Caenorhabditis elegans: one gene and its partner. The protein of the gene in region 1 interacts with the protein of each later gene in a pairwise test. Each region holds a gene or a part of one and is shown on either strand. Other genes may lie near its edges. The genes, in order: nex-3 and ifb-1.

What was found.
Region 2: the proteins of nex-3 (region 1) and ifb-1 interact in a two-hybrid assay, tested with the Caenorhabditis elegans proteins (one large-scale study listed by BioGRID).

The regions. Positions count from the first base shown.
Region 1 is NC_003281.10:4,438,483-4,447,789, forward strand, and holds nex-3 (Annexin), read left to right. Parts: upstream 1-3,598; 5' UTR 3,599-3,610; coding exon 3,611-3,652; intron 3,653-3,695; coding exon 3,696-3,794; intron 3,795-3,865; coding exon 3,866-4,086; intron 4,087-4,522; coding exon 4,523-4,925; intron 4,926-5,250; coding exon 5,251-5,364; intron 5,365-5,562; coding exon 5,563-5,637; 3' UTR 5,638-5,755; downstream 5,756-9,307. Other genes in the region: C28A5.2 (REJ domain-containing protein), read right to left, coding at 1-87, 135-310, 360-662, 710-775, 821-958, 1,008-1,061; ceh-43 (Homeobox domain-containing protein), read right to left, coding at 8,361-8,534, 8,880-9,119.
Region 2 is NC_003280.10:5,761,433-5,773,833, forward strand, and holds ifb-1 (Intermediate filament protein ifb-1), read left to right. Parts: upstream 1-4,185; 5' UTR 4,186-4,209; coding exon 4,210-4,342; intron 4,343-6,789; exon of another isoform or gene 6,790-6,913; intron 6,914-7,512; exon of another isoform or gene 7,513-7,528; coding exon of another isoform or gene 7,529-7,568; intron 7,569-7,666; coding exon 7,667-7,917; intron 7,918-8,214; coding exon 8,215-8,336; intron 8,337-8,381; coding exon 8,382-9,170; intron 9,171-9,280; coding exon 9,281-9,482; intron 9,483-9,529; coding exon 9,530-9,637; intron 9,638-10,094; coding exon 10,095-10,259; 3' UTR 10,260-10,652; downstream 10,653-12,401. Other genes in the region: Doublesex- and mab-3-related transcription factor dmd-5, read right to left, coding at 10,759-10,982, 11,031-11,252, 11,667-11,759, 12,071-12,235. UniProt on the Caenorhabditis elegans protein: Cytoplasmic intermediate filaments provide mechanical strength to cells. Essential protein, involved in attachment structures in epidermal cells that connect muscles to the external cuticle. Required in morphogenesis and epidermal integrity.

The DNA of each region.
Region 1 (9,307 bases):
TTCAGATTCGGCCATTCCGTTGAACGAAAACTGGAGAGTAACTCGTATGAGCAAGAGAAACCAAACGAATTTTCGGGGATACATCGTCTGAAGAAAATGATTTTATGATATTAACATACTTACCAATTACTCACTTTACGAGAATCACATGAACACTTCCGAGGGAAGGCATTGGAGTGTCAAGAGACGTGCTTGGTAAAATGGCGCATCCCATTTTCGGTGTCCAAAAAAGTGCTCCGTGATCATTTTCAGCGATAACGACTCCTTCCAAAACTCCATATACCATTGACTCGGCGATATAAGGCAAAGTCTGAAAAATCGGTTGTATATTTTGCTTTAAGGCTCTTAGCTCAACGTACGGTTTCTCTGTAGTAGAGCTCGAAAATGGGAGTAATTGGAAAATCAGCATAATATCTCCAATTGACAGTCACGCCGTTTTCAAAACTTATTGGCTCCCAGCATACGCCGATTCGATAAATAAAAGGAGTGTCGGTGTTTTGCAAATTTGATCTACTTGTGATTGAGGTTTGAAGCACACGAGTTGGAAGTACAATCTTTTGAAAGTCCGTATTCTCGTTCTCGATAATGCTGTAATCCATTCCATTTATTTTAAATGGATCTCTTTCTAGACATTCATTTGAGAAGTGCACAATAGCGAAGATCTGAAACAAGTTGATTGTAAAATGGTAAAATAATTCGATTTTCATACCACAACTTTGGAATTCACCACCGTTACATCACGAAACCATTCAAAACTGCCACATTGTGCGACAAGCTGAACATTTTAAATTGAGAAAGTTACTCATAATTAATATGATACCGATGGCAAAAAGCTGTTCGCGTGTTCAAATTTGGCTTTAACAGTTGCTCCTGGAGTCGGCGGAAAGTTAAACTTTTCCGAAGGAACGGTGATGCAACAATGATCACTGACAGATCCATCCAAGAATGCGACTCTCCACTGAAAATAATGATTTTACGAACTAATTAAAAATAATTAAAGAAAATACCTCAAACGAATCTCTGAGCTGATCAATCAAAACGCCGTATTTATAAAAATGCATTGTTTTGCGGTGATAATCATCGGCAAGTCACAGAAACTCGTAAATCTGAATTAAAAATGTTTTAAAGAAGTCCAAAGCAAATCTGAACACTTTACGCTGAAGATTTAACCGAATTTCACTATTTTCAAATTTAGAAATCACTTTTTAACAAAAAAATTAGCTAAATGAAAGCGAAAAATGGGAAAATCTCCGTTTGGACCGAGCAGGCATGCACTGGTGGCGTGGTGAGACCTGTGAACCGACATGCATGCACCTTTAAGTGTGACTGTAACCGGATTGAAATTTTCAGGCCTACAACGGTGGAATTAAAATTGTTGTGAAGACTTGTTCGTTTGGTGTAGACGATGATATGTCGAATTTTGAACTGTACAGAAATAAGCCATAAAACATTTTGATGCTAATTTCAAGTTTTTGCGAACCTAAGCAAATTCAAAGAAAAAAGGGCGGAGTTGGTCTGAAACTTCTCAGTTCTCACTTTCCAGCTGCTTCCAAAGTTTTTCCATGATATTTGGTCCTTTTGCCACTATATATGTAGTTTTTGACTATTTCCCCACAGGCGATACTCCTGCTTTAAAGAAAAATGTAATAATGACATTAAGTTTAAAAAATCCCAGATTTTGGTGATTTTTCCACTCTTGCTAAAATCTCCCATTGACAGTACTCCACCATCAAACAAGGACAAACTCAAGAAGTTTAAACAAACGATTCGAATGTCTATTTGTTTGAACTTTCTCCCAATTCTTTTTTTATTTACAAACACATTTCCTCATTCTTTCTTCCCATTTTTTATTATAGTTTTCGATGACTCTTTGCAGAAAAAAAAAACGAGAACTTTTGCTTGTTTAGTTAACATTTGAGATATTGAGACAGTTTGTTCTTCTATTTTTCAACATTTATATACGATATTTTTGAAGAATATTTTCTCTAAATTGATCTCAATTGTAATTCACAATAGAAGCCTATACATATCCTAACTAGCATCAATAATGTATAATTCCTTTTCAACCGTGACCATTTCAATTGAATTCGTTCCGAATATCCTCACTTTCTCTTTCAAAGTGTCTGCCAACCTTTTTGAAAAGACACGAAAATGATGATCTGTTCGCATTTGGGCAGGTATTTCACAAGTTTTTGCAATTTTATAGAACTTGGAATTTCAATATATCCGCAGAGCATTTATTTTGCGATTTTTGAGCAGAATTTTAAATAATAAGTTTTCATAATATTCTCAGACCTTTATATTTCTGTCAATTTTCGTGAATAATGTGATAGTGAAACATTCAAATTTCCTCACAAGTGTTCTGTAACAATATTCCCGAAAATTTTCGTGCAAGAATCTATTTTGCAAAAAAAAAAAATCAAAAGTCATATTAGGGGGACGCAAAAAACGCCTTTCGAAATCGAAAATCAATCTCGCCCCAACGCCAATTTTAAACGCTCCGCCCCTAAACATTGGGTCTCGTTAGGTAAAACCGTAAATTCAAGTTTTTTCCACTTTTCTGTTGCTTTTAATATTTCTTTTTAATTTTAAAATTAAGTTAAGAAGTGCATGATATAGTGACATGATATAGTGGGAAGAAAACGGTTTTTGATTCAATTTTAATTTTAATTTTTCATCATTTTTCACGCAAAATTCTAGAAAAATAACGAAAATGTTTGAATTTCCCAGAATACCTTAAAAAATACCAATGACAAATAATAAGCTATAATTTTTTTTGTAGCAAAATTGTTAAATTTTCTAATTGTCAAAGTTAGGAAAGTTTCCCCAAAAATTCTATTTAATTTCGAAATCAAAAGTATTTCAAAATTTCTTTTCTAAAATTCCACTGACTCATCATCACATCTCTTTTCTTTTCGAAGGTCTCTTTTTCGAAAAACCACTCCCTATTTTTGTGGACAATAAAAGTGTTCAGACAGTTTCAAATGACTCATCGCAGTTATTTCGTTCTCAATATATTTCTGCCTTATTTTCGAAGCATAACCAGTTATGAATCTCTTTCAATTTAATTTTATTTCCGTTTAAAAAGTAGGAATCAAAGATGAACTGACGTCAATTTTCCACTATTTTGCAGACTTCTTTTCAATGTTTCACAAATATTTACACTCATTGGTGGACGTAATACTTGAAACTTCCCTACGAAGAAAATAAATAAAAAATATTATCCAACTGCGAAATTACGAGAATCTTGAATTCTGCCAGCCTCATAGGGAGCTATTAGGCGTTTTAGGAAAATTAAAATATTTACTTTAAAAATCCTAAAAAAAATAAATCTGAAACGCTATCAATAAAGCATTCAGAAAGTACTGCACTTCCCACATTCTATAGATTTGCTCATAAAATTTGATGCATTGGCCGTGTTCACACATACTTGATACATCATATTTTACAAGCAAATTCGGTTCACTTTTTCTTTGTACTATATTGAACTGTCGTGTAATCCCTGATCCAAAAGTGCAAAATTCTTTACCACATTCAATTCTCCCATTATCCAAATACCTCAAAAAGTCTACCTGAAATATATACCTCAAAGTTCTAGAAAACCGACATAATGGCAACTGCAAAGATCCATTTCAAGCCGTATTTTGATGAGGTAAGCCTGTGGGAAACTAGTAAAGTTAAGCCGAAAATTGTAGGTTGCCGCCTCGGAGCAACTAGAGAAGGCTCTTAGAAACAAGGAGAAACTGAAGATTTTGGAAATCTTGGTTTCGGTTAATAATACACAGAGACAGATGGTAAGATTTTAATGGTAGGTAGGCATGCCTGCCTACTCACCTGCCTATGTCTAAAAGCTCCATATTTCCAGATCCGCACACCCTACAAAACTCGTTACGGAAAGGATTTGGAAGATGAAATCAAAAAAGCATTTTCTGGAGATTTCGAAGATTTTCTCGTTGCTCTACTTCAAACTCCTACTAAACTAGACGTGACTGAGCTGAATCGATCTGTGAAGGGTCTTGGAACAAATGAGAAAAATTTGATCGAAATTCTGACAACTAGGACTAACGAGGAAATTGAAGCGGCGAAGTTAGTTTTTAAAAAGTTTTTCGAAATTAGAAGCTTGAAGTCAAAACTAAATTTTACAACAACAGAAACAATTGGGAAGTAGGCATGGTATAGACATCAGGCGGGAACGTGAAAACACATAGGTAGGCAGCGATTTGGTGCAGAGTAGGCACTTAGGCAGGCATAAGGTAGGTCCGTGGGTAGACAAACATAACCCAGACAGCACTATGGTTATGAATAAGGCATAGGCAGACAGTCTTGATGTAGGTCCCGAAGCAAGGTATAACGTAGGCACGCAGAAAGGCGGAGATTTCAAAAGTATGAATCAGTCGTAATTCCTGTGCGTAGGCTTTTGAAAGCTAGTTAGGTCTCCCGAAAACGAACCCAATGATAATTTTAAAGTTGTTTTCTAGAAAATGTCCTTAAAAAAATTAATATCAACATATGTTTTTTCTAGAAACACTTACTTCATGACTTACTCCAAATCATTGGAAGATGCAATTTCTGCTGATACTTCTGGAGACTTCCGGCGTCTTCTCATTGTCATTCTCCAAGCAAAACGCGAAGAAGGTGGATTCGCTGATACATTCAAAGTTGGGCCTCACGCTGCTCAAATTCTGAAAAGTTTTGACAAAAAGTCTGGAGTCGAAAAATTCGATGCGTTCAAGATCTTTGCAACATGCAATGGAGCTCATATTCAAAAAGTTATTGAAGAAGTCGAGAGACAATCTGGAAAAGAGTTCCAGAAACTTATTGACAAGGAGCTCAGCGGAGATTTCAAGAATTTGGTGTTGTCTCTTATTGAGACTTCGAGAAATAAGCCTCGATATTTTGCAAATTCGATTCATTTGGCAACCAAGGTAGGTGCAAGATATTTGAAATCTTAGTTCAGAGAAATTTGACTTTAGGTAAATGACAAAAATTTCCTGATTTGATTTAAACATTTATCTTTTTGTTACATGTAGGAACTTTCACAAGTCTACACACATATCGTGCTTAACTTCCTACGTAGGCACGGAAGTAGGCACAGAAGTAAGCAATGTAGTAGGCACGCGTGTAGGCGTAAGGCTTTAGATAAAATTAATCAACTATGAAGATATAGGAAAAGAGTTAAACTAAAGCTGGTAACGCTAAAAACATTCTAGATAAAAACCCTCAAAGTTCAGGAAATATTCATGTTTTCAGGGAATGGGAACACGTGACAAGGATCTTATTCGTATTCTGGTATCCCGATCGGAAAATGATTTGGTGATCATTGAACACGAATTTCAAACTCTTTTTGGAAAACCATTGACTCAGGTGAGCCTATCAAGTAGACTGATATTACCTGCAACGTTTACGCCAAAATGTGTACTGAAAATAGAACAAAAAATATGTTGATATTTCCAAATACAGTTCAAAATACAAATTTCTATTTAAGATCCCCAGAGCGATGTTCGTAATATTTTCTATAGAAAACCATATTGGTTTCTCTTTATAAATTTCATAAAATTGCAGCTAATCAAGGAGGAGTGCAAGGCAGAATACCGTGATGGTTTGACGATGCTTGTCAAGGGAAATCCAAGACCTTAGAAAATGAAATACAAACTATCGATTAAAATGCTTTCTGTTTGAAATTGCTTTACATTGAAACTACTTTATAAAATCTATTTCTAAACGTTTTTATTTTAATAAAAGTTTGAAAAATGACAAGCGACAATTCCAAAAAGTGCTCACAAAGTTTTCTTGAAAATTAGCATTACATGTCCCACGTTCAATGCTGGTCAACATCCCATTATAAATTTCTTATGATTTTCGAGCAGCTGACATCTCCCGAGTCGGTTAGAACAGAACAGGACCTGAAGCAATTGTACCTCAAAACCCCGATTATTAATCGAAATATTTTTCTATAGAATTTCTGATTAGACTCATTTAAAAGTCTGTTAAACTAAATGCAGAAAAATATTTATTTCACTGTAGAACAATGTTTCAATTAATGTGCCAGTCCATAATTTTGGCCATTCTCTGTTTCATCACGAACTCTTGATCTTTTTAAGATTCTCCCCTTGAATCAAATTCAAAAATTTGTTATGTAGCAAAACTGCAGACTATAATTATCCATAAGGTCCCCTCCCGACGCCTTTTCCGTTTCCTTTTAGATTCCATTTCTTTTGTTCTTCATAGTGACCCTCACATGGATCGAAAATTGGCGTGTTCCTCGTTCATCGGCATTCGATTCCTATTCATTCAGGCTCTATTTTGCAATAATTCAAACCATCTCTCTATGTCTTGTCGGGGAAGAAGAGGTCATGGTGGGGTTGAATTTCCTCCCTTTTCCCACCGTAATTCAGGCGCCGTTCCGTCGATTCCGCCATTTCACCGCCGACACACACACGTTGAAATGATGGAAAAACCCCTTTTGATGAGAGGAACGGGCGGTATGTGAAAACAGACTGATGAGTGATTTATTGAGAAAATGTCAATGAAATTTAGTGTTGAAATTTTGGAATTTGTGACAGGCAGGCAGGATCCTGGCGCCTACCTGCCTGCCTGTCGTGTCTTGTCGGCGTTTTTTTTCAACATAAAAGTTAGAGTTTAAAATTTTAAAAATCGCAAAAATTGAAAATTTTTAAGCGTTAAAATTATAACTTTAGTTTAAACAACTTTAGACGAAAAATTCAAATTTTTAACTTTTCAAAAAACATTTTTGTTCGGGAATTTCAAAGTGTTAATTTTTAGAAAATTATTTGGCATAAAAAATTTATAATAAAATTGTTTAAAGAATCATGATTTAAAAAAAGCTAGCATTTGAACAAAAAAAACAATTTCTAAATATTTTTCCCTACAATACATCTACCGTACCACTATCATATCTACAGTAAAATATCAAATCCGCTGCTAACTTTAAGAAAAACTCTTTATATTTGCAAAATAGTATGAAGATTTTAATTTTTTATTCACTAAAAGTACAATTTACAGTAAAAAAGATAGTATATCAATATGATAGGAATCTAATTATAAATAAAAAAGACGGGCACCCGGTTGGCCGTTGGATTAAAATGAAAAGACGAAAAAAACTGGAATCGGTGAAATTGAGTTGAAGACATGAGGAAGGGAAAGAAAGTTTTAAAGAAATGAGGAAAAGCACACAGGTTGAAGGGAGTTTTAAAGAAGATCGGTAGAGATCTGAACAGTTAAAGTAAGTTTTTTTTTCAGAAGTAAGTATTCAGAAAGTAAACTGGCTCTGATCTCAAGGAATCGCGCCAAAAATCTAGTTTTCCGCGATTTCTAGAGATCAAACGGGACCTTCTGAATACATCATTTATTTGATAGAATCATTCAATTCAGCTGGGATTTCATTTTAATTGAATTTAAAATGTTACATTAAATTTAAATTTTTAAAAAATTGAATGAAAATCTCAAACAAATGTCTAAAATGATAATAAAGTCTTCTACACCTGAAAATGAGGGTTTTGGAAGGCATTTGAAAATGTAAAAATGAGCAGACTATCGCCGAATCTTGCAGGGGCACTAATATGGTGTAGCCGATGAGGTCAGATGATGCGGTGATTTATATGTTGGGTTGGTAGAGCTGCAAAATTTTCAGATTATGGAAAAGTTTTACTTTATTATTGTGTGCCTACTTGCCTGCCTACGTGCCTACCGCCTATTTTTTTTACTGCAAGTCGCATTGTAGGTAGAGAAGCAGGCGGCTTTGTATTTTGTAAAAATTAGACAGAGAATTGCAAAGCTCAGAAGAACCAAGTTTTTCTTTACGGTTCTGTTTCAAAATTATCTTCAAGTTAGTTGCAAAATGACTAAATACTGGCTCCACCCAAGAGTGTATTCAGAATTTGTTTCCAATTTTTCTATTTAAAAAAAATTATCGGGGTTTTCCGAGAAAATCAAACAATTAAAAAAACCGTACAGTTTATAAAACCAGGAAACTATTGGATTATAGTAAAGTCAAGAAATTATTTTAAATACGAAATTTGCCAAAAAATTAGGAGACTTTGTCTGGAAACTCAAAAATACAAAAATTTAACTTTTCGTCGATTGATAATTCTTGGCATTCTGCCATTTTTCAAGTAAAAAACTTTAAAAAAGCAAACGTTCAATATCGATTTATATATCAAAAACCATGAGACCATAGAAAAGTTTGGAAAGAAAAAAACACAAATCATCGAGAAAATCAATATTTTCTAGGCTGACAGCTTATTCAAAAGTGAACATATTTTAGCAAGGTACTACAAGAGCCTTGTAAAAAAGAATTTTTTAAATTAACTGACAGTCAAGAAAAAGGAAATATTATATCCTCAGACATACTTGTAAAGAGTATTCTGGTATACTCCATTTGTGTAGTCAATGCTAGGATAAGCGCCTGCCGTATTGTAGAGCGCATTGTTGGGGAAACCCTGTGACGGTGGGAGAATCGTTGAAAAGTCGGATCCGTAGAGGTAAGGAGAAGCATATTGCTCGTTGAGTGTCATCTGAAAAATATTAGGAATTATTATGCTTTGCGAAAGAGCTTGAAAGCAGACGAAGAGTGTCTGCCTGCGTGCCTACGAGGCAGGCGTGGTCGCCTTCTATGCAAACTCGTACCTGTATCTGTTACACGTATGCGTGTGCTTTTGTCAATGCAGTCACGCAGGCACACACGAGTTTTTGTGCCTACGTAAACTGCTTGAAGGCGGTTGCATTTTCGGACAGCAAAACCGTGCTTTATTTTACAGCAAAATTTCGGTGAAGGATTTTTGCAACTCAAAAAAGTTTTCAAAGAATTATTCAAAATATTTCTAGACTTGGTTATCAGATAATCAGCACATTTCACTAACCGGTGGATATTCCTCTTTCATTTCAGTTTTAATTGAACTAGATACAAGTGTTCTTGGCTCACTGCTCTCCTGAATCATAACCGATTCTCCCATCGGTGGACTTTCAGGCTTTGACTCTTCCGTATCATCATCTTCTTCATCTGATGCATGATCCGAACTTCCACCCTTCTGTTTCTTCTGCTTCGAACGCCGATTTTGGAACCAGATTTTCACCTGGAATTCAGTGATCGGTTGTGCTCTCTAAATTTTAAAAGATTTGTTTAAATTTTTAGCGCAATTTTATTGAAAAGCCCCACATCGGGGCCGGTGTGCCAATTGGTTTCCGATCCGTCGATTTTGCAAAAACTGGGCAATGTATACATAGAGAGATAGACCCTGCGTGTCCCTGTATGACATCCGTGAAAAGACGGAAGAGAGGGAAAAAGAAG
Region 2 (12,401 bases), on another chromosome or scaffold:
TGTCAACAGTTTGTTTCTTTTCACAACTATGCCGTAAAACTGGTTACAAAATGATGACGAGTGTCCAGACGACACCAATTAGAAGGCGTTCCTCTCGCCTCTTTTTCTTCATTTTTTTCACTCTTTTTTTGCGTGTCCTCCTTTACATAAATAGAAGAGGAAGGGACACACCCATTTGAGTCATCAAAAGGCAACGAAAAATGAAGATGAAAAGTATAAATGGTTGGATTTTGTTGCGTTCCTTGCATATTATTGTGTTCATTTGTTCCTGGCAAAACCTGGGTCTTCCTTCTCAATATATTATTTTTTGAAAACTAATTTTTGGTGATTAAAGAAACCTACAGTACCGTTTCATAATTTTCGTTCTTTCGCTATATTCTTCTAAATTTCAATCCAAAAGCTAAGCACTCACAGTTTTCCGATTGAAATCAAGCAGGTCATTCACTTCAATTCAGTTCTCGCATTTGAACTGAACAGCCTCTCACTCTCTGTGTGTGTGTACAGTACAGGATTACATTTTTATTTGCATTTTCCACAACAATTATTATTCAGTACTGGGTTTCAAGTTGATTCTAGTTTAGATTGATGAGGTGAAAGATGGAAAAAGTTTGAAGTTCTAAAATCGAGCTTGAGCTGAAATATAGTTTATCAGTAAACTTTGGTTTATTCCTAGAATGATGTGCACCCGTTTTAGCTTTTACAGCTCATTTTCTGTTCTTTAAAACATACAATGACCTTGAAACTTTTCATACAGATGTGCAAAACTTAAAATATCTGTAAATGAGCTCCCTGAAGAATAACCAATTTTCTCTTATTTTGTCTCATGGTTTCATAAGTTCAAGATTTTGATATGATTAGCTTCCATCTAGACACTTATAAGACAGGGATAACTTATTTTTAGACTTACGCTTCACCTTAAAACATTGAAAAATTATACAGTCACCGGGATCTTAATCTGAACAGTAGACACGCAATGAGGCTTAATTCCTTTTTGTACAGTTTTCGGCTCAAATTTCTTCTACTGTAAATATAAATATTTTGTAGCTCGAATATTCCCTTTACAGTTTTTCATGACTACTCATCACTACTAAAGTACTTTTATAACGTCATGAACGGTGTCTGTAAGTGTTCAAAACCCAATTCTATACAAATTTCTTTCACCTCTGCCCGCCTCCTATTCATTTCAAACCCAATTATCATCCTTCGTGGTTTTTTCCTCCTTATTCCTCTTCTCCATCTGTTTTTGCCCGTTTTCCTCGTTCCGATTCCTCTTCGCTCCGAATCTGCGGAGTATCGACGAAAATTGGGCGTCGTCCCGTTTCTGAATAGGAAAATGGTTAGACTTCGGGTGAGGACGGTAGAAAAGAAGAAAAAAAACGAAGAATCGAATCCAGTTGAAACGCAAGAAAAAAGGAGAAAAGCGGAGAAGAAGAATGAGGAGGAGGACGTCGACCAACCGTAAAACGCCCCCATCACTTTTGACTTCAATTTGCTTTTTTCAAGGTTTAGCCCCTCGTGTCTTCCATAACACATCCTTCGAGAAATCGTTATTTTAATTTATTTGTTTTTTAAACATCTAAACTATTTCCTCATTTGCAAAATTCAAATAGTTCATAAAAACAAAAATACAAAACCCCACCCGTAAGACGACATAAAACTGAGAACTATGCCTAATCCATCAGTTTCATTTTTCTCTTTCTTTTTTTCATCGAAACCATCTATTGAAAACCAGTAGACTCATAGTATTAATTGGTAGAGGTTCAAACTGCACCAAAAAAAATCAGTAAAAAAAAGGCAGAACAACAAGAGCGATAGTTCCTAGTCTGTAGAGTCTGTAGATGATTAATTGAAATTGGATTTATTCCTTTCTGAATTTCAAAATTTGTTCGTTATTGTATTATTAGATGGGTCAACGTTATGTAGCCTTCTATTCATTCAAAAAGCTCACCCGCCTGCATACAGGCGCATTGAGACCTACCCACTTAGCCGGGAAGAAAGCTATCATATCGGCTATAATTTTTCAATGCTAAATGAGCGCATGATGCCTACCCGCCTACCAGTAGACTTACTTACCTTCCTACCTACCTCCTTGCCTATCTCTCTTGCAAGCAGAGTCGTACCTGTAGATAGGCGGGTAGGCATATTTGTGCATGCTAGTTTTCACATTTGCCTCGAGATTAGAAATTGGCCTCAACTTACCGTATTCTTCCTATTAGACTTGTATCTTCTGGTTCTACTTTGGCAGAATATATCTCGGTTGCTTTAAATTTTATCAATAAATTGTCAACTACCAAATATGTACCAAATATGTCTCTATATTTTGGTTGTAGAGAATTTTTTGATAACACTTGAGACAATTGGAAAATAGGCCGTCAAAGTAGAGTAATTGTGGTGCAGACTTTGTAGGGAAAATACGGTATGCCTCAGCTTTAGTACTGGACGGCGATAATTTTAAACTATTTTTTTACAGGTTTCAATGTTTACAAAACTTGTTTACTGACAATGAGTTCTTAATTTTTTTACCACAGCCCAACATTAAAAATGCAAAACCTTAGCCAGCACGGAACATTTTCGTAGAACTATTTGATCACTTGTACCTCCAATCTTGTCATCATTCTCACCCATAAATGAAAACAAAATGTTAACAATGTCTTATTCTCCCCCTCTTCCAATTCCCTCACTAACATCTCCTCATTTTTCCATTTCAAATCATTTCTCTCTTGTCCTTGACTGTGATAATCGGCCACTTCCTATGAGGTAAAAGTAGTCGTCATCTCTTCTAAATTCTCTCGGAATACGCCTATACGCCAAGCGCATCATTTCAAAAAGTGAAGCGCGCAGAGAGAAAAAAGAAGGAGGAACGCAAATAGCAGCTCGTTTTTCGACGGTTCGGCAACAAAATGGGGGCGGAGCAATTGGTGGGGGCGCTTCTCAGGGCCTCTGCCTCATCGACCCCCGGCGCAACAGACCGTCCTCACAATACCCTTTCGGTATTCTGTAGGAATGCTTGTGTGTGTGTGTCTTTCCGATTTCATTTTTTTCGCTTCACTTTTTTACTCCGAGCAGAGCAGGAGCACTGTGTCTTTTTCTACTTTTATTCACTCCACCCCAAAGTTACTTTAAGCTTTCTAAACTATCGTGAATGAGTAACCGAATGGTTTAGGATTTCAAGTAGTGTCAATTAGAACTTGGTCATACAATTACTCAATAAATTTCCAACTTTATGACTCACTGAACACCCACATGTTTCTTCACATCTTTTGCTAGTTTTATTATGATTTTAAGTTTGAGTCAACAAGCTTTAGGTATGAAAATATGAATACTAAAATTAAAAAAAAAACAGCAATTCATTTTCAAAATCATTCATAAAAGTTGAAAACTTTACGAAACAAAATGCAACATAAATTTCGCTGTCCCACTTTTTTTAGAAAGTTTTTCAGATCTGAACAATTAAGTCTTTAAAGGAGATAGGCATGAAATCATTCCTTTTTGCCGGCTTTCGTACTTGGTTGCATCCTATTTTTCCTGTGAATTCTAGTAGGTTTCGTGCCTACCTAGAAGGTTTTTATTATTTTGCGATCATTTCACGTTGCTCGAAAAAAACAATTATAAGAAGCATTTACTGTAGTCTGCAGAAATAAAAAAAAATCAAGATAATCTTTTAAAAAAATCATGAATAAAATCATTTAACTTCCATCATTTTCTCGTCATTTTCCACCCAATTCTTGCAAATTTCCCTGCACAATGCGCGAGAAATTCAATCTCTATTGTTCTTCCATCTAACAATTCTCCGGAATGTGCTTGGGTGTTTCAATTTGTTTGACAGGTTAACGTTGACTCACCATCATGTCCTTCCACCCATATTCAATTCTGATTTCCATGAACAAAAATGGGCGTGTTCAGTCACTCCTCCTCCACCTTATTTGTTTTCTGTTTTTTTGTGGAGTGTACTCAAAAAAATGTTGAACATATATATGAGTGTGTATGTTTGTTGAAAACCGGCCACGCTTATTTGGGTTTTGATAAGGAACAAATTGGATGCCGAAGGATGCAGAAACATTTTTTTTTATCATATTGTTGTTTTAAGGTTTAACACTTTTTATTAAAATTTGTAATTGTTACTTTTTGCTCAGTTTTCTGTATTTTCCCAATTCAGCTTCTATATTTTCAAAAAAAAAATTTCAGGTAGCGTCAAACTTCTGAAAGAAGATGTCGTCTCACAAGGAATCTTCCGAGTACGAGATGCAATACAGATCCACCATCCAGCCAAGAACAGCGGTTCGCTCTCAATCACGTCAGTCTGGAAACTACGTGTCTGGTGGAAATGGAGCAGGATCCGGAGGTTAGTTAGATTTTAAAAAAATTTAAAGTTGAAAACGGTAAAGATTAAAAAAAATTTCAGCTATTACTATATCCTTTCCTCTGAAAATAATCATCAATACCAGGAGCATTTCTTGTTTCAAATTCTTGATTTGAAATCCGGATAGTTATATATCTTTTAAAAAAATTTCCTACTGAAGTCTAAGCTTCAGAGATCACTCAATTTCCAACGTATTTTCTATACTTTCCTGTTAGATTGAGAGTTTCAGAATATACTTTTATTTTTTCAAAAGTAGTAAACCTTCAAGCTATTTTTCTCCTGGACCGGTCTTATAGATGACCTTAATTCAAGTTGACACTATACATCCGATCAACTATTAACTGAACCAATATTCCAATATTCTTTTTTCCTTTCTTTCTCTATTTCTCTGTTTACATGTTTATCCGTCTACTACCCATCCATAATTATGTATTTGAATTCAAAGCGAATTAGTGAACAGTCGCATCAATCGAACCGAACACTTTATTCTCTCTCTCTCTCTCTCGTTCATCCGATTGCAAAAAAATAGTTTGGGTGGTTTTATTAATCAATTGGAAGATGAAGTAAATATTGGTTTTTGCTGTGCTATACAATAGAAATGAGGATGGAAATATAGACCTGGAGGATGAAAAGAAAATATAAAAACGAGAAAAAGAGAGCAAGAGTCGTTATCAGTGCGAACGCGTTGATTTGTTCTTGGCTAAACGAAACGTTTTTGAGAAAGGTGAACAGTTTGGTAGAGGATAATATTTTGAGCAGGGATTTTACATTTTTTCTACTCGGAGTTGATCCAAAATCTTCTGCTTAAAAATATCACTTAAAATCAATTATTTTCGAAATTATAAAAGTTAAAAGATAAAAAGTAATACTTTATGCCTTTAAATGCAATTTTTAATTTAATGAGTTTTCTTAATATTTGCTCACTTGGCAAGAAACCACACTTTTTCATAGTTTAACAAAAATCTAGAAACAGGTTTTTATGAAGTGAAATTTCTGTGAATAAATGGGGGAATTCCTCAAAAATTAAACAAATATTAATATTTTTGGAGTTTTGAGGCAAAAATGGGGAAAATTTGAAATTGGCAATTTTAGCATAAAATGTCAGGATAATTAAAACTTCAAAAACTGCAGTCGAAATATATTTAATTAAAAGCTAAAAACAGTTTTTAACAGTAAAAATTTGAAATTGAAAATTGTTTGTTAAGTCAGAGATTTAGGTACGTAAACTTACTACATAGTATTAGCTTCTTATAACTTGCCGTAAGCCTACGCACGTATCTGCTGCCTAAACACAAGTTATCTTTTATGTTTGTAATTTTTAGTTGTTCTTTGAGCAAGTTAACTCACTGTGAAAATAGAAAATAGGCAGGCATTACCATAACAAAAGAAAAATTGTTCTTTTTTATTGTTTTAAGCAAATCTGGAGATCAAGATCAAAATATAAGACCACAAGATTTTTTTCCGGCAGCCCATATCGTTTCCTATTCAACCGTCATTAAATCCACTTTTTCTCATCCAAAAAATCCCATAAATCTCTGGGTTTTCTCGTCTCTCGATACAGTCTCACAATTAGCATAATCACTGAGGAACGCCCTTCATTTTCAAACCAAAAATCTATTGAATTTAAAAGTTCAAGTTCCATCAAGTTTATAGTGCATGACAGAAAGAGTTGTTAGGCAAATAGTCTTCAACTATGCATATACATAAAAATGGCAACATTTTTGGAAATAAAATGCAAAAAGCAAATAACAGATTGAAAGAGGCACCAAAATTTCAGACAGTTTTAAATACAATATTTCAATTTTCGTAACCAGTTGAGATAACATGTATAAAAAGATACATTGAGCCGATTAAGTCAACAAAATGTTTAGTTTGTTGTTTCTTGGGCACACTTTCCGCCAGCCGGCTGACTGCTCAACACACTTGAAAACTTGACGGACTTTGAAGAAATCCGAGCTTTTATTGATTTTATTCATCATTTATTTTAATTTTGTTTTTTTTTGGGTAACGAATTAAAATTAAAAGAATCCCCTGAATAACTTTTAATTTAGAATACAGTTACGAAATAGATGAGAAATAGGTGAGAAAGGAAGGAATGACCACACCCAAGATGTGACTATTTTGAATGATGAGAAACTGAGACATGGAAAACACCCATTTTTTATGTGTGATTAGTCATTTAGTTTTAATGAGTGAGAATTGGGTGGAACAGTGACAAGAACTTATTATACTGATTATCACTTGATTTATGAGATCTTCTCGGATAGAATCTCGGATTTCTCCGATTTATTGCAAGATGGTGTAGAGTTTTTTTTTTCAATTAGAAATGTCCCATCTTACATTTAAGTTGTCAAAACTAATTTTTTAACCAATTTTGTTCTAACTTGAGATAAGTCAATTTTTGCGGCCCGTGTTTCAAGATTCTTAAACTTAAAAACATTTTTGAGGACTGGAAATGATGTTTTTCTTAATTGAATTTCTATCAAATTGACAAAAATAAAACAGGTACGTTGGCCTAAAAATAAGCCTTCCTACCATTAGATTTAGTTTCTGAAACAAAAATATCTCCCTTACCAAAAAATGTCAAAAATGGAATCCTAGTTAAATTAATTAGCTTCCCCGCAATTTAAAAAAGATAACAAAAATGAATGATTGAGATCTGATCAAGATGATTATCTTTAGTTGACTCCGCCCACAACAACCTTGACGTATTCTTCATCTTCAATTTCTAAGTAAGTAGTGTCTTGATCTCTTTCCACTTTTCTTCCAATTTATCCATTCATTCATAGGCACAGTCAACTCGCAATCTGTACGTATGTGTACATGTCCGTTGTCTTCAACTTATCACCATTATATCTTCTTCTCTTTCTCCATTTTCTATCATCGGTGATGATCGGGAAGGCAAAACCATTGACACACCTTCATTCTTTTTCTCTAAGTTCTCCACAAATTTAATGCTATTTCTTCGTTGGGTGGAGTATTCAGAAGAGGGTCAGAATTGGTCGACGGTTTCCGTTATTTTGCATAGTGTTTGTGACACTTACATTTAGTTTCTATACCATTTGTTTTTCATTTTTCATTCAGAAATTTTCGAACTTGTTCCTCATTATTTTTTTTCCCTTAATCTTCTAGAAAAACTTTAAAATTTCAAGCTAAAACACATCAGAAATGGAGGCTGAATCAGCGCCACAGGCACCAATGTCAGGAGGTAAGAATAGAAGAATATCGAAATATAAATTCCCAATAGAAATATAAAAACACTCAAATCAAATCTAATCTCCTAATTATCATTATAAAAACGTTCAGGACGCGTGCTAAAGATGGTGACAGAGATGGGATCAGCTACAGTCGGAGGAATTTCACCGGCCTTGTCCGCAAACGCAGCAAAATCGTTCCTTGAGGCGACTGATAAGGAAAAGAAGACACTGCAGGGACTCAATGATCGTCTCGGAAATTACATTGATCGTGTCAAGAAACTCGAAGAGCAGAACCGTAAATTGGTTGCTGATTTGGATGAGCTTCGCGGAAAATGGGGAAAAGACACATCCGAGATTAAGGTATTTTAGTGAATTTCAAATAAATTTTAAGCAAGCTTCTGCAAGCAAAAAACTGAAGTAGTTGTAGAAAAAACATTTATTATTTGATTGTGAATCAGTAATTTCTATTTAGATATATATTCGAAACTTTCAAGATTTTATTTACTATATTAGAGAATTCTCTCAAACATCCTTAAAATCTTCAACTTACCAGAAGAAAATCTGTGCGCTTCCTGTCCAGTGTTTTTTTAAAATTTCAACCTATATTTTGGAACAAACTTCTTAAAGCTTCTTTCCTATTCAAATTGTTAATTTCAGATCAAATACTCCGAATCCCTCTCAACAGCTCGTAAGGACATTGACGATGCTGCTCGTAGAAAGGCAGAGGTTGATGTGAAAGTTGCCAGACACCGTGACGACTTGGCTGAGTACAGATCCAGGTTTATTTATTCTTAATTTTCTGTTGCTTATCAATATTTATTCAGATACGAAGATATCCAGCAACGCCGTGAGTCCGATCGCGAGAAGATCTCCCAATGGACCAATGCTATCGCTGATGCTCAATCCGAAGTTGAGATGCTCCGTGCTCGTTTCAAGCAATTGACAGATGAGGAGAAGCGTGTTACAGCTGACAACTCGAGAATCTGGGAAGAACTTCAGAAGGCCAGAAGCGATCTTGATGATGAGACCATTGGCAGAATTGACTTCCAAAATCAAGTGCAGACTTTGATGGAGGAGCTCGAATTCTTGAGAAGAGTTCACGAACAAGAGGTTAAGGAACTTCAAGCTCTCCTTGCTCAGGCTCCAGCTGACACCAGAGAGTTCTTCAAAAACGAATTGGCTCTTGCCATCCGTGATATCAAAGATGAGTATGATATCATTGCCAAGCAAGGAAAGCAAGACATGGAGTCCTGGTACAAGCTCAAGGTTTCCGAGGTTCAAGGATCTGCCAACCGTGCCAATATGGAGTCCACCTACCAGAGGGATGAGGTCAAGAGAATGAGAGACAACATTGGAGATCTCCGCGGAAAATTGGGAGATTTGGAGAACAAGAACTCACTTTTGGAGAAGGAAGTTCAGAACTTGAACTACCAATTGACCGACGATCAAAGACAATACGAAGCTGCCCTCAACGACAGAGATGCTACATTGAGAAGAATGCGTGAGGAATGCCAAACATTGGTTGCTGAGCTTCAAGCTCTTTTGGATACCAAGCAAATGCTTGACGCCGAAATTGCCATCTACAGAAAAATGCTCGAGGGAGAAGAGACCAGGTAATTATTATCGTTATTTAATCAATATTCCCAGCAAGCCAAATTTTGGGCAGTTTTGTTATCATTTTGTTCTAAAACCTTTCTCAAAAGTTTCAAAAATATATTTGCAGAGTCGGACTCACCCAAATGGTTGAGCAAGCCGTCAAGACGCATTCTCTCCAACAACAAGAAAACACTGATTCGACAAGATCAGTTCGCGGTGAGGTATCCACCAAGACCACCTTCCAAAGATCCGCCAAGGGAAATGTGACAATTTCCGAGTGTGATCCAAATGGAAAGTTCATCAAGCTTGAGAACTCGCACAGAAACAAGGTATGTTGAAGCTTTTTGGTTTTGAAATGTTGAAAATTTTATTTCAGGATGAGAATGTTGGTGAGCACAAAATCAGAAGAAAGTTGGATGGAAGACGCGAAATTGTCTATTCCATTCCAGCCAATGTTGTTATCAAGCCAGGAAAGAACTTGACCGTAAGTTATTTTTATCATTGTTTTAGAAAAAAGTGTGTAGCTATGTAAATATTCTTAGTATTTTTTTAGTCTGCCACTATATTTTTGAGAAACCCAGCCAACATAGTCTGAAGCCCGTTAAAAACGTACTTTCACCTGAAAATTTCCAAAAAAAAAATTTTGAAAGGGAATGGCCAAATTTTGCTAAAATCTGAAATTTTGTGAGATTGTCCATGTAGCAATATCGGAAAATCAGTTGTTATTTCTCTAATGCTCTTTATCAGAGTTACAGGTTTTAGAAATTTGAAAATGTTTTCCCCAAGTTTTGAGCCACCATAAGAAATTTGGAAACATTTTCTGAGAGGTCTCATTATGAAATTTAATCGTTTCGGGTTAGTCTAAGGGTTTCTCGCATTTGCTGAGAAACTAATCTACATAATTTCGAAAAGAGAATATTCCAATTCCAATAAATTTCCAGATCTACGCCCGTGACCAAGGAGGCATCAACAACCCACCAGAGTCTCTTGTCTTCGATGGAGAGAACACCTGGGGAATCGGAGCCAATGTTGTGACGTCATTGGTGAACAAGGATGGAGAGGAGCGTGCAACACACACCCAGAAGACCATCCAATCCGGACAATAAGCTCTCATTATTTTTAAACAACTTTTTCTCTTTTAAACAACTCCCCAAAATCACTCAAGTTCTCTAGTTTCTGTCCATAATTTTCTTATTATTCTTGATGATAGACCTTCTCGACATTTTTTCTTTAAATTGATTCATTGAAACTGCCTAAAACTGACCAAAATATTGAATTGATTTGCTTAAGACTCTTCACTTAAAATCGCTAATCTGAAATTCATTTTAAAAAACATCAAAAAAAGAACAAAAACGTTTGCAATTCTTTTCATAATACACTGCTTTTCCCGTTCAAACTTCAAGTGTTTCCCCCCGCTCATTTTCCACCGAAAAATCTTTCTATTCAATGTTTTCTACTTCTTTTTCAATTTTAATAAGATTTTTTATTCAGTTTAGTTTTTTTTAATTGAAGACAAATCATAAATACAATTTTAAATGTGACCATATAAAAATATACAAAGTATTGGAACTCTGATTCTGACGATAAGAAAAAATATTCAATTTCTCAAAATGTTTTATCATTTTCTCGGTATTCTTCTTCGGCTTCCTCATTTTTCATTAAACGATGACTGTAATCCAATGGAGCAGTTTGTGGGAAAATTGTGCTCGGTGATGACGTGGCAATTGTTGGCTGGGCTGAGAAGAACGCTGGTGGAGCTGCGAGGCTCGCAGCAGATGCGAAATCTGACATTGATGGAGTTCCGAAGAAATGCGGCATCACTGAAAACACTGAAAATAAGTTTAATTTACGAAATAATATTGAATAAGCTCTCTTACTCGGAAATCTCATGAATGGTCTTCCATACACAGGATTGAACATTGGCATTGAAGAGTATCCATTTGGTTTGAAAACTGGACTTGTTGGAATCACTGAGCCACTGGTATTTGGTGTTGATTCAGATGAGAGCTCAGGTGGGGAAGAAGTGCTTACAACAGTTTCAGAACCTGTTGGAGAGCTTGGTGAACTCCGTTGTCCCTGTGAGTCTTCGTATTTTTCTTCTGAAAGGTAGTGCAAGGTTAGTTAAGGTTAATCTTTTAAATGAGAGCAATTGACTTGTAAAGTGCTAATCTAGATTAATCCCATCAATATTGTGAATAGCTTATCCCTCTCAAATGCATCTGCTTCTCGTAAAGCTTACAGTGCTCTCTAGCTAATTGACTTACGCAACCAGGTACGGGGATTATGGAGATGGGGTAAAAGTGCACCTGTTTCCGAATACGCAAAAAGTTTAGCACGAGTGGGGTTCGAACCCACGAGGTGTTATCCACCATTGGAACTTAAGTCCAACGCCTTAACCACTCGGCCATCGTGCTGGCCATTCGACGCGGCGCTCCGTAGCCTTCACATTACTGCGGGAAGAAGAGAGCGCACTCTCATTTCTCTGTCTCGAACAGGCTGTCATGTCGACTCACCAGTATTATTATTGTTGTTGGTCGTCGGAGAAGCGTGGTTTTTCCCGTGATGTTCACCGGCATCGAGACGAAGAATATCGAGGAGATCATTCGCTAAAAAATAGAAATTAAATAAAAAGTTAGCGTGTTATTCTATAAAAAAAGAGAACAATGTGTCATTGTAGAAGGTGTGTGAGCATACAAAGATGACCCTAATGAACTATTAGTATTGTAACAAGTATAGGTCATATTAGTGTCAGGTTACCCAATAGTTAGTCTAGCACCTCGAGCACAGCGGGAAGCTTGTTCAAGACACAACTTGAATGAAAAATGACCGGAAATACTTGATCGGGAAAAACACATGCACTGATTCAGCACCAGCATTCCACAGCTTAATCCCCGAATATTTAAATAAGCTGACTTACCATTTCCAGCAGAACCCAGAAGTACTTCCAAATCTCTTGCGTCTCTTTCTTCCTGAGATTGCTGACGACGAAGAGCAACCTGAGCAGCCATAACTCGTTGTCTTTCGGCAATTAATGTGCACTTTGCACACATACAATCCTTCCATTGACAGTAACGTTTGTGACCTGGAAAGTTTATGGAATATTACATTTAAATTCTAGATTTTCCACGAGAGCACAAATCACGCAAAGATGGCAAGATCGGTGATGTGTTTCCAAAAATTGAAAGTTCTTATAGAGCAACTTATTTTATGGTTTTAACAGAAGCCGGAGCATCGAGTGTTATTGTCCC